Linked DNA regions of Rhinolophus ferrumequinum. The protein of the gene in region 3 purifies or fractionates together with the protein of the main gene of each other region. This does not show direct contact. Links are inferred from orthologs where the notes say so. Each region holds a gene or a part of one and is shown on either strand. Other genes may lie near its edges. The genes, in order: IRF2BPL, IRF2BP1 and IRF2.

Evidence for each region.
Region 1: the proteins of IRF2 (region 3) and IRF2BPL purify together in Homo sapiens (affinity purification with mass spectrometry; 3 studies listed by BioGRID and IntAct, counting the BioPlex papers as one, with this or other methods). This does not show direct contact. The link is inferred for Rhinolophus ferrumequinum from reciprocal best matches to the Homo sapiens genes IRF2 and IRF2BPL.
Region 2: the proteins of IRF2 (region 3) and IRF2BP1 purify together in Homo sapiens (affinity purification with mass spectrometry; 4 studies listed by BioGRID and IntAct, counting the BioPlex papers as one, with this or other methods). This does not show direct contact. The link is inferred for Rhinolophus ferrumequinum from reciprocal best matches to the Homo sapiens genes IRF2 and IRF2BP1.

What each region holds. Positions count from the first base shown.
Region 1 is NC_046289.1:22,046,496-22,050,236, reverse strand, and holds the start of IRF2BPL (probable E3 ubiquitin-protein ligase IRF2BPL), read right to left. Parts: upstream 2,201-3,741; 5' UTR 2,064-2,200; coding exon 1-2,063. UniProt on the Homo sapiens protein: Probable E3 ubiquitin protein ligase involved in the proteasome-mediated ubiquitin-dependent degradation of target proteins. Through the degradation of CTNNB1, functions downstream of FOXF2 to negatively regulate the Wnt signaling pathway.
Region 2 is NC_046298.1:42,136,044-42,139,784, forward strand, and holds the start of IRF2BP1 (interferon regulatory factor 2-binding protein 1), read right to left. Parts: upstream 2,444-3,741; 5' UTR 2,069-2,443; coding exon 308-2,068; 3' UTR 1-307. UniProt on the Homo sapiens protein: Acts as a transcriptional corepressor in a IRF2-dependent manner; this repression is not mediated by histone deacetylase activities. May act as an E3 ligase towards JDP2, enhancing its polyubiquitination. Represses ATF2-dependent transcriptional activation.
Region 3 is NC_046287.1:77,251,708-77,255,448, reverse strand, and holds the start of IRF2 (interferon regulatory factor 2), read right to left. Parts: upstream 2,431-3,741; 5' UTR 2,235-2,430; intron 918-2,234; exon of another isoform or gene 653-917; intron 1-652. UniProt on the Homo sapiens protein: Specifically binds to the upstream regulatory region of type I IFN and IFN-inducible MHC class I genes (the interferon consensus sequence (ICS)) and represses those genes. Also acts as an activator for several genes including H4 and IL7.

The DNA.
Region 1 (3,741 bases), on a different chromosome or scaffold from region 3:
ATGTTTTGGGGGTGCACTTGGTCCATGCCCGGATGGGTGCTAGGTGGCGGGGGCGCCACCTGCAGATTCAGGTCCCCGTTCCGTGAGGCCAAACGGCGCTGCCCGGGCACAGAAGCCGGCGACACTGGGCTGCTGCTGTTACGCCGCGCGGACGCAGTGGTGGAGTGCACAGAACTGCCATCCTTGGGCGAGTGCGCGGTGCCCAGAGTGTCTGCCACCGACATGAGGGCGGCCATGGGGGATGGACCGTTCTGAGGGGCCGACTCAGGCGGGGTGGTCCGATTGGAATGGGGTCCCATGGGTGGGGGCGGCGGAGGCGGACCGCCGGCCGCATGCCCTGGCGCCGCAAAGCCCCCGGCCGACATGGTGAGCTTTAGTGCCTCGCTCTGGTTCGCCATCCACTGCTGCCTCTGCTGCTCCTCGCCCAGCTTCAGCGCGCCCTCGGCGGAGTCCGGAGGCTCGGGGGACGCCTTCCTCTTGCGCAGGTTGGCGGCTGTGCCCCGACCCGAAGGGGTGGCGGGCGGCAGGGCCCCCGTCCCCGGGGGTGCACTGGGGGCGCGGCTTAGACTCACCAGCGCCGTGGGCAGCATGGGGCAGCTGGCGTCCAGGTAGGGCTGGGGCAGCATGTCGGCGCCGGGCACGCCCTCCTTAAAGAAGCGCACGGCCTCGGGCAGCAGGTCTCCAAGGAGGCGCCAGTCCCCGGAACCGTGTTTCTTCTCGTACTCCAGATACTTGAAGCCGGAGGATAGACCCCGACCGAAGTCCTTCATACAGTCCTGGTACATCTGCTTGGCCACCCCAGATGCGCTGGAGTACACGTTGCCCGAGCCCGTGGGATACTCAATGAATAGCTTCAATTCGTAGTCCATGCCGGGCTTGGAGACAGCGTCGAAGGCGAAGACGCGGCCCAGCAGCGAGTGGTCCTTCTTGAAGCGAACCTCGTAGGGTGTGCAGCCAGCCAGCGTGAGCAGCGTGTCGCGGACCATCTTGGGCTTGTTTGCCCACTCCTCCGCGCGATTGCGCAGGCTCTCGCTCAGCTCCGCCAGGGCCTCGGCGTTACGCTGCTTCTCCTTCAGCTCACGCTCTTGGTCGGTGCTCGACACCGAGCCGGGCCTTTTGCCGCCAGCACCCACGCCCACCTCGGCCACCGACGACGAGGTCGAAGACGATGCCGAAGACGACGCGGCGGATACGCCCGGCGCGCCCCCGAGACAAGCGGGGCCCCCGGGGGCCCCTGGGGGCGCGGGCGTCGGGGGCCCACGGCTGCCGAGGCCGTGGGGTGGTGGTGGGGGCAGCACGGCGGCGCTGGCCGGGCCGTTAAGCAGCGTCTGCGGCAGCAAATTGGGGGGAACCGTGAGTTGGGGGCCTCCGCCACCCCCCGGGTTGGGCAGCCCCGTCACTAGCCCACCGTGCGTCCCGCGCCGAGACGACGCCGACGCCGAGGACGAGTTGGGGCTCTGGCGGTTCAGCTCCGGAGGTCCCTCCTCCGGTGCCGACTTGGGGAAGCCGTTGGGGCCCCCCAGGCCGTTGGGCAGCCGCGCGGCGTGGCTGCTGCTTCCCAAGCTCACCGGCGGTGGCGGATACTCGAAGCGGCTGCGCTGTTCCACCGCGGCGGCGGCGGCGGCAGCGGCGGCTGCGCTGAGGCCGTAGCGCTCCAGGCCGGACGGGGCTGCCAGCACCGCAGGCTTGCTAGAACCATCGACGTGGTTAAGCTGTTGTTGCTGCGACTGCTGTTGCTGTTGCTGTTGCTGCTGTTGCTGCTGCGCGGCCGCCGCCGCCGCCGCTGCTGCCGCCGCCGCCGCCTCCTTAGCCGACAGGGCCACCGTCTTGACCCCGACGGGCGGCGGCGGCCCGGGGGAGCGGCCGTCCTGGAAGCAACCATGCGCCCGTTTCAGCTGGCGCGCGGTCTCGATCACGAACTCAATGCGATCGGCGCCCTCGTAGTTGACGCAACCGCGGCATACGGGTTCCGAGAAGTCCCAGATCATGGCCCAGGGCATACGGGGCAGGTCGCACAGGTAGCAGGATTGTCTCCGGGACGAGGACACCTGCGCCGCCGACATGTTGCCAGCCCTGAGAAAGGTAGGCCCCCGCCCGGGCTGTCTCCGCGGCGCCTTCTCCTCTGGGAGGACCAGCAGGCTGGGGAGGGAGTCCGGCAGCGGGGGAAGCGGGGGGGTGTGGGGGGGGCGAGAAAGTTCTGCCCCAGGGGCTGGAGGGAGAGCGCGAGTCTCCACCGCCGGCGCTGCGCCTCTCTGCGGGGGCTCCACCGGCCGAATTCAGCCCGCTCCTCGCCCCCACCTCCTACTGCGGCTGTCTCGTCGGGAGGGGAGCTCAGGCGCCTTCTTCCTGGTGCCCCGGACCCGGGCTGGAGGCTCCAGGACCGGGGGGAGGGGGCGAGGGTGCCGGGTACTGACCGCCGTTGGCTCTTGGCCCCCTCCCCGGAGAGGCTGGTGCGTGGAAGCTCGAAAGGGGCTGTCTCTTCCTCTCCCCTGGGGGTCCCCCTACGAGCTGCGTCCTCTCCCCGCCAGGCTCCCTGGGGCGAGGGCTAGAGGGTGCAGTGCCACCCGGTGCCCAGGTCCAATCTTGCTGAAATCGCTGCTTCCCAGGGCTGGGGTAGGGAGGGGGAGCCGAGAGAGGAGCTTCTCTCCTCCGCTGCGTCGGCTGTTCCGCTGGCGGCGGCTGGGTTTGCACGGCCGGAGGGAGCCACCGCGGCCACTGCTTCCAGGACGCACGAGAGCAGAGAAGAGCGCACGCACGCAGGCTCCCGCCGCCCCCAGGCCTGGCCGGCACCCGGGCCGCACCGGCTGGCGGCGCTCACGTTGGCTGCAGGGCGCTCACGCGGCGCCTGGGCCCGGGTCGCATCCCTTCCCGCTCGCACTCGCCCGGAATGTGGGGTTGTGATTGTTACTCTACGTTCCGGAGGCGCGTCTCGGCGCTCCCGCTCGCGCTGCGGCTCGCGCTGTCCCCGGCTTGGCCGCGCGGGATGCCGCCCGGGCGGAGCGCTGACGTCACCGCCATGCTCTGCACCAGCTCTCCCCCCCACCCTCGGCTTTTACACTTCCTCTGTAGAGCCCACTTGTTGCTCGGAAAAGGCGCATGCGCGGCTGGATGCCCAGATTCCTCTCGGTGGGCCCCTCCTCCCCGCCTCCGCCCTCCCCTCCCCCCTCGCCGAGTGTGTACAACAGCTGAGGCCTTCCGAGCTAATGCTGGAAGTCCAGCGCTGGGGGTGGAAATTAAACAGACGATGACCTTTACTTTCCCCGCCCGGCTTTCCCAAGTAAAAACGCATTTAAAAACCACCAGCGTCCTTTCTGATCCCGCTTCCTCCCCCACCCCACCCCACCTCGGGCAGTGAATTTAAATGCCCTGTTTCAAATTTTCGCTGTGAATTTCATATAGGGTATTACCCGTTTCATCTGCAGTCAAACCGTTTCCCCCAGTATGGATTTACATTCATTGCTACCACTAATGCTGAAGCACCTGCAAAATTAGCTGTTTTCCAATCTTCCAGAAACTGCCTTTCCGATTTGTTTTGTGCCCTGGTCTAGAACCTGAGCTTAAGCGATGGAGCCAAAATGAATTCGGGGTGAGTTACCCTCTCCCCCCAGCCTCAGTCTAAAAATTTTGGCTGAGTGTCTAAAGAAGCTACGAGCACCCAGAGGCCTTTAAGGAAAAACAGTCAACTGGCTGCGCACAGCTGCAGTTGGGGGCAGGGAGGGGAAGTGCTGGAGAAGCCAAACA
Region 2 (3,741 bases), on a different chromosome or scaffold from region 3:
CGTTTATAAAGAGCGAAATTTCCAGGAGGCCCCTTCTCAAGGAGGGGGGCACCTCTCCCCCAACTACGAGCAGCAGCAAAGCCAAGCCAAGGAGAGGAGAGAAATTGGAGGGGCCAAGGGACCCCCAAACTTCCTCACACAGAAGCCACGAACTCCCCCCCACCCTCAATGCATCTACCCCAGGGGACCCATCTGGGATGAGGAAGGGGGTATGTACACAGGTGGGGGTGGCACTGGGCTGGGTGGGGAAGGGAATAACTTATCCACAGCAGCGGTGGGTGGCAAGGGGGCAGGGAGCAGTAGTGGCCTAGGGGTCCCGTTCTTTCTTAACCTTGATGTCTCCAGCAAGGATGGTGGCGATCTCACCCTGCATGAAGGCCCAGGGGACAGAGGAGCCCACCAGTGGGCACTTGTCTCCACTGGGGCAGTACACCTCGCCAGCGGGGCCCTGCGCTTTTATGAACTCTCGTGAGCAGGGAAAGCAGAACTTGTGTCCGGGCACCGAGGGGCACTGGACGAAGTGGGTGTCTTCCAGACGCTCCCGGCATAGGGTACAGCACAGGGGTGCCCCAGGGGTCGCCCCGGTGCCGCTACCACCTCCGCTAACAGCTTCCGCCCCTGCGGTGGGGCTGACTTCGGCCTCCCCATTGCGGGCCACTAGGCGATGCTGGGCTGCAGGCTGGGCTGTGGAAGAGGCTGCTGGGCTGGCACCCCCCGCACGCCCTGGGCCCCCGCCCCCGCCAGGGTCCTTGGGAGAGTGGCCCAGGGCCTCGGCCACATTCTTCAGTGCGGCGATGGGTGAGGGCACACCAGGGGTCTCAGCGGAGTACGGACCACCGGGAGCCACCCAGTGTCGTTGCTGCTGCTGCTGCTCCTCGGTGGTCATCTTCCCAGCTGCCTCGCCCTCAGGCTCAGGGGATGCCTTGCGACGGCGTGCTGTGGGCGCCAGGTTGCGGGATGGGGCTCGCGGGGGTGGGCCACACAGAGCTGCAGGAGTTGGCTCTGGGTACTGCTGGGGCAGGGCCTCGGCGGGAGCTGGCTCTCGGAAGGTGCGGACACCATCGGTTAGCAGCTCCCCCAACTGGCGCCATTCCCCAGAGCCGTGCCGGCGTTCATATTCGAGGTACTTGAAGCCCGAGGAGGCCAGCGCCTTGCCAGGCTCCCGCAGAGCATCATGAAACATCTGGCGTGCTACGGCCAGGACTCCTGCGTACACGTTGCCAGAACCACAGGGATATTCGGTGAAGAGCTTCAGCTCAAACTCATAGCCTGGTGGGCGAGCAGTGGCATCGAAGGCAAATACCCTCCCCACCAGCCCGTGATCCTTCTTGAAGCGGACATTGAAGGGGGCGCAGGCAGACAGCGCCAGCAGCTGTTCCCGCACTGCTTTGGGGCGTCCGTGCCACTCCTCCGCCCTGCCCCGCATGGCTTCGTTCAGTTCTGCCAGACAGTCTGCATTCCTCTGCTGCTTCTCCTTCTCGAAATCGGAGCCGAAGATTGGACGGGCAGGACTCAAGCCGGGTGCCAGCGTCAGACCCCGGCTTCCCAGGCCAGACACCGCAGCTGCCAGCAGCCCGGGGGGCACCAAGCCGGGCATGGAGCCAAGCAGGGCCCTTCGAGCCCCCTCCGCCACGACGTCCTCACGGCCCAGTCCATTGGCCAGGCGGGACCCCAGGGTGTACTCCAGAGCAGGCGAGGGCAGGGGGAGGCGGCCCGATGATGTGGCCCTGTCATAGCGGTCCTGTCCCGAGACGCCGCCGCCAGTCCCCGACGGCTGGGGCTGTGCCTGCGGAGGCGGCAGCTGGGGCCCCTGTGCGGCGGCCGCAGCAAGGTCCTTGGTGGCCGGGTGCTTGAGGGCCGGAGGCCCAGGCGAGCGGCCCTCAGGGAGCACGTGGCTGCGCTTGAGCTGGCGGGCAGCGTCGATGAGTAGCTCGATGCGATCCGCGCCCTCAAAGTTCACGCAGCCGCGACACACGGCCTCGCTGAAGTCCCACACCATGGCCCACGGCATCTTGGGCAGGTCGCACAGGTAGCACCACTGGCGGCGGGACGCCTGCACCGACGCCATGGCCCCCGCGCGCGCGCTGCCGGGCACAGCTTTCCACCCGCCGCCGACGTTCGATCCGCGCCGTCAACGTTCGATTTGTGTCCCCAGGACAGCGCGAGCCACGGTCGGGCCTCCGGCTCGGCCTCCCCGCCGATCCAGGCCCGGCCCCCCTTCCCCGCCCCCTGGGCCCTAAGCCTTTTTCCCTCACTCCCGCCTCCTTGAAAAGGCAGGCAGAGGCACGTCGGCGCCCCCGCCAGGTCCAGGCTCTAGGCCGAGGCTCACAGGTCGGGCCCAGCGATGGGCCGCAGGCGCCGCCGCCTCCGGCTCCCGCCGCTCCCGCCGCCGCGCCGCCGCCGCCGCCGCTGCTGCTGCAACGGCCGCCACCGCCTCCACCTCCTTCTGCCCCAGAGGCCGCTTCGCAGGGAAAGTTACATAACGCGCCGGCAAAGCCTTCTGGGAAACGTAGTCCCGCCGGGGCCGGTTCTTAAAGGGGACCGCCAGCAGGCAGCCAGGGGCGGGGGAGGTGGGAGGGGCTCGCCGCTTCTCTGCAGGGCAACGCTTACCGATCCTCGCCAAAAGCAGGGAGTTCGACGCGTTCCGTGGAGTTCGGACACAAGGGTTGGGGGCAGGAACTACCACGGTTTCAGAAATTGTATGGGATGGACAGGCTTCCGCGCGCCCAGTTTCTGCTCCCACTTGCTGCGCAGCTTTAAGCAAAAATATTGCCCACTCTGAGGTTCAGTTCCCCGCCCATTAAAAGTAGGCCAGTGACTGGTTAGGAAGGCAGCCGCTCCTGCGGCGGAGCGGAGGAACCCTGATTGGATGGTTTCTGGATAGGGGACGGGAAGCTGGCAACTTGGTGATGGTGGTGAAGGTTTACTTGTAACTACATCTTCCCTAGAATCTTGGGTATCAGACTCTGACCCGGGCCGGCAATAGCCAGAGAAAAGAGAGGACTGAAGACCTCTGCGCCAAGCCTCTGCCTCAGTTGCCTCATCTGCTAAAGGGAGTAGTCGAGCGCCCCTCAACTGTTCCAGCTTTGTGGGCGCGCTCTGGTATCCAAAGGGTTACATTGCCAGTTTCTCCGCCCCCTAACTTCACTACAATTCCCAAAATGCTCTATGGGGCGGACAAACTGACGCACTTCCGCTGCCTGGGAGGTTGGGGGGGGGTGCTCCCCAGTTCCCGCTGCCAGTCCTACTCCCGACCCCTACGCCGGTTTTTTGGGGGCTCTTTCCGTGTTTTTCGAGCACGGAGTTGAGGGGATCCCCACCCTCTACTGCTCCCTAATTTGGGGGAAGGGAAGGAGGCCAAAGATGGCAAGAATTGAGGTGGGGATCATTTCTGTAAGATAGCAAGCTCCAGACCACCTTTCTCCAACCTTGAGTGCTTACTACCTGATAGGCCCAACCAGGCTCCGGAGACCATCATGTTTTTTCCTTCCTGTGTCTGGTCCAGTGCAAGGTGGGCTGGGGCCGGAAAGACAGGTCTTCAAGTTCTAACCCACATCAGCGTCTTCCTAAGCCTGGGCCCGTGTTAGGAAATACTTATCTTGTCAGAATTGCATTAGTGTTTTTCAAACTAATCAGGTGCTGCCTACTCACCTCTCCTCCATCACACTGCAACCATAGCAGCTGATTTTGTTACCCACCTGTATGTTTTTAACATCCTGTGAAAAAAAATTATCAACTTTT
Region 3 (3,741 bases):
AAAAAGGAATATGGGGGGCTGAGGAAACGAGAGAAGCCTGCATCTGTGTGCCTAATGAAGCGGGACAGGGATGACCTCCAGGTCCCGGTAAGGGAGCGTGCACCTGTCTAACATCAAGACCATCCACCTTCGGTACTCCGTCTGTCTCCAGACCCCTGTCTACACCTGTCCTGGAGCACCAAAAAACTGCAGGTTGCTAAGTTCCAATGGTATTTGAAATCGGTCTGAAAAGTTATAAATGACTGCAGGCTTGACAGCAACCTTGGTTGATTCCTGAAAATCCACAACATGAAATGTAACTATCCTCCACCTTCCCTAGCCATTCATCAAAAGCAGACCGAGTCACAGCAACAGGGAGGCCAGTGGCAGAAGGCAAATGTCAGCATTTATCCTCATATAGAAAGGCTCTGCGTTTTCTCATTCCCTAACCAAGGACAAGGAGCCCTACCTACTACCCATACTGGAGGGAGGAGACTGAAGACGGAAGGAGCGAGTAAAATGTCCCCAAGTTCCAAACTCTGTACTATGGGGTTAAAAAACGAGTGAAAGCCAAGCCGCTAATAGGTGGCAACCTCTAAAGCCAGTCCCAGGGGTGACATTTACAACTGATGAACAAGGGTCCTGCTTACAGCTACTGACCTGGGAGCCTCACCTGGAATACTGACTGGCCCGGAATACTGTCATTGCGCCCGGCTCGGGCTGCCAGCCTCCTTCCTTCCCTTCTTCCCTCTAATGGGGCAAGGAGGTGAAGGCGGCAAACGCACCAAGACCTAGAGCCAAAGAGAGATACCGGTGCGTCCAGGGGAAGGGGACAAGTCACATCCAGAAGCCCTCCGAACTTGGAAAGGCCCCCAGGCCCTGGCACGGAGAGCAGCCGAGGGCTGGCGGGCGCCACGATTGGCCGCGGCGGGCAGCGCTCGGTGGGCGAGCCCCGCCGATTAGGCGGAAAGGAAGTGGCGGCCGCGGCTTTGCACCAACCATGTTCGGCCGGCGGCCGAATGCCACTCGGGCGCCCAGAACGGGGTCGAAGGGCGCGGGGCGGGCACTCACGTCCGCACCCCGCCGCGGCCTGTGCCCCAGGTTACCCAGGGGGACGCTGGTCCCCCGAGCCTGCCAGCAGGGCGCCGCTCGGTCCCCGGAGGCTCCCCGCCCCCACCTCGCCCGCTCCGTAGCCGAGGCGGGTCAGGCCCAGCGCGCGAGGCCGGCCTGGGGGCGCCTGCAGGGACCCGGACGCGCCTGGCGCTAGGCCGCGCCCGAGCAGTTGACCGCTAGGCGCGGCGCCCTCCCGGGACGCACCACCCGAGCCCCCCGCGCTCCGGGACAAGTGCAGTGACAAAGCCCCAGGGCCAGGCTGGGCGCTGGCCGGCGGGAAGGAGGGCGCGGTGTCCCTCCCGAGCGGCGGCAGCGGTGGCCCAGCCCCCAGGAAGCCGGGCGCGCCGGCGAGGCCCGGCGCCCAGCCCCGCTCCGCGCCCGGCCGCCCGCTCGGGCCGCTGGCACCCGACGCCCCCGACCCTTCCCCGAGCTCGGCGTGCGGGCGAACCCTGAGACTGCCCCGGGCCTCCCATCAAGTTTCCTTTGACCGCGGCGGGAGGTGCCTCTCCCTCCAGGGCTCAGAGCGCAGGCAGCCGGGCAGCCGGCGGGTTCCTGCTTATTTACACTGGAGGCTGCCTGCAGCGAGGCGCCGCTGCCGGGCACCGAGAAGGACCTGCTCCCCTGCTTCGGACCTGGAGGCGACGGCGTCTGTTAACACGCACACGCACACACTCGTACACGGTAATTCTGTTGTAAAAGGAGGCCCGAGTCCAGCGGACCAGTACCACCCCCCACGAACACACACACAACACCTGGGGCGCAGAATCACACAGAGCAGGTCTGTGTCCATGGAGCAACCTTTCTGCATCTGCAAATCCAAAAGTGAAATTAAACCTCCACCGACCTCCTCCTCCTCCTCCTCCCTCCCTACCTCCTCCTCCTCCTCCTCGCAGCCTCAGCGGACCCAGTAGCAGCAGCAACAGCAGCAGAACCTGTCTCCCCTAAAATCAGATGATCCATAACAGCGCCTACTGTTCCTCCGAAAATCGGTATTAATATTTATGAACCCCAGCATTCGTAGTCTGCAAAACATCGTGTCAAAACATCAGGACACCCACACACATAGCCCCTCCAGGTCTCATAAACATGCCCTCCAGAAACACACACACGCACAGTCACAACTATTATTTGAAAAATGTTACCTCTCAGGGTGCTTTGTCACGCTACCAATACAATTCCGCAAGGTTTAAGTGTTGCTAGGGTGTATGAAATGGAAATGAAAGCCCGTCAGTTGAATAATCGCAGGAGCAAAACTAAAAGTTACTCCCCGGCTTGCCTGAGAACAGTCCAGATCGAAAGCAAAACAAGGAGAGGAAACTGCGAAGAGCCGAGGCTGGAAATCCCCCCACCCCCCGCCCTCCTCCCTGCCTGCCTCCCTCCCTCCTTTGCTCCCTCCCTCGCCTCCACTCTCCGCCCTCCTCAGTCCGCCCTTCCTCCCCAGTGTTTGTTTCAAGCTTGTGCAACCAGGAGGTGGAGGCGGAGGGAGGGCGAGCCGCCCCGCCGCGAGGTGCGGAAGTTCGCCGCCGCTGTTCATTGGCAGGCTGCGCGGCTTTCATCATTTCTCGAAAAGTCAATTTCATTTTCACTTCCCCATGTCACGGCAGCGGGAGCAACAAGCGGCTGCTCGTGAGTCTGTGGTTCGCACACCGGCGCGCTCACACTCGCCGCTCGAACACTCGAGTGGGGGGTGGGGTCCGGAGGTGACAGGGCGCAAACTTGGGTTCAGGCCAGAAGCTAGTGGCTCTAGGAGAGGGAAGCATCCTAAGGGTTGTCTGAAGGTTGGGAAGGAGGGAGGACGAGGGCTTCCGGGGAAGCAAAGGGTTGTTGCTATCTAGTTGGTGGGGCAGGTGTAACTGGTGTTTAGCACCGCTGTTTTCAGAGTGCATAAAAATTCACTCTGTAACACTACCCACTTAAGAGTAACAAAAGGAACAATTAACCGACAAGACTTAGATATTAATGCAAGAACCGGGTCAAGTGACTGGCTTCCTGAATCTTATTTGAAACCTTATCATAATTGAGGGTGTAACCCTTTGAGGAGCTGCTGCCATCTCTACCACCACCTGGCGCTCAGTTTTCCACCTAGGGCGATAAGGAAGGCCTTTCCCTGGTAACTCAATAGCTGCACACTCCAAGACTGACATCGCCTGTGCAACATAAGTTACCTTATTGCAGGATGAGATGTGAGAATTTTAATTAAAGATGTCTTGGTCATGGCTGGTACAGAAGAGAGACTTTATACTGTAGTACTTCCAGCTAGGTTCAAATTGGCTTCCTTAAGGTACTAGTTGGGCATCCTTGGGCAAGTTGCTTAACCTAAAGGCTCAGTTTTCAATGCTGTGAAATGGGGATAAATGAAAGAATGCACGAATACAGGTACAGTGCCTGTCACCTTAAGGTATCTTAGCCCAAACTAATACAATTCACTTGGGACCTACTGGGTTTTTGCTCCTTTACTTTAAAACCATAAACTCCCGCATCTAATTTTACCTGTTTCTTTCCCTCACTTGCGCCTTTATCAGACTTCTCTACCCAAACTTTTCTATCCAGAGGAAGTCCTTTCCTGAGATGCCATAGCTATTTATATGTAAACATGTCTTTAAAATCAACTCCAACATCCCTCTTTGTCACAAAAGTATTGAATTCTAT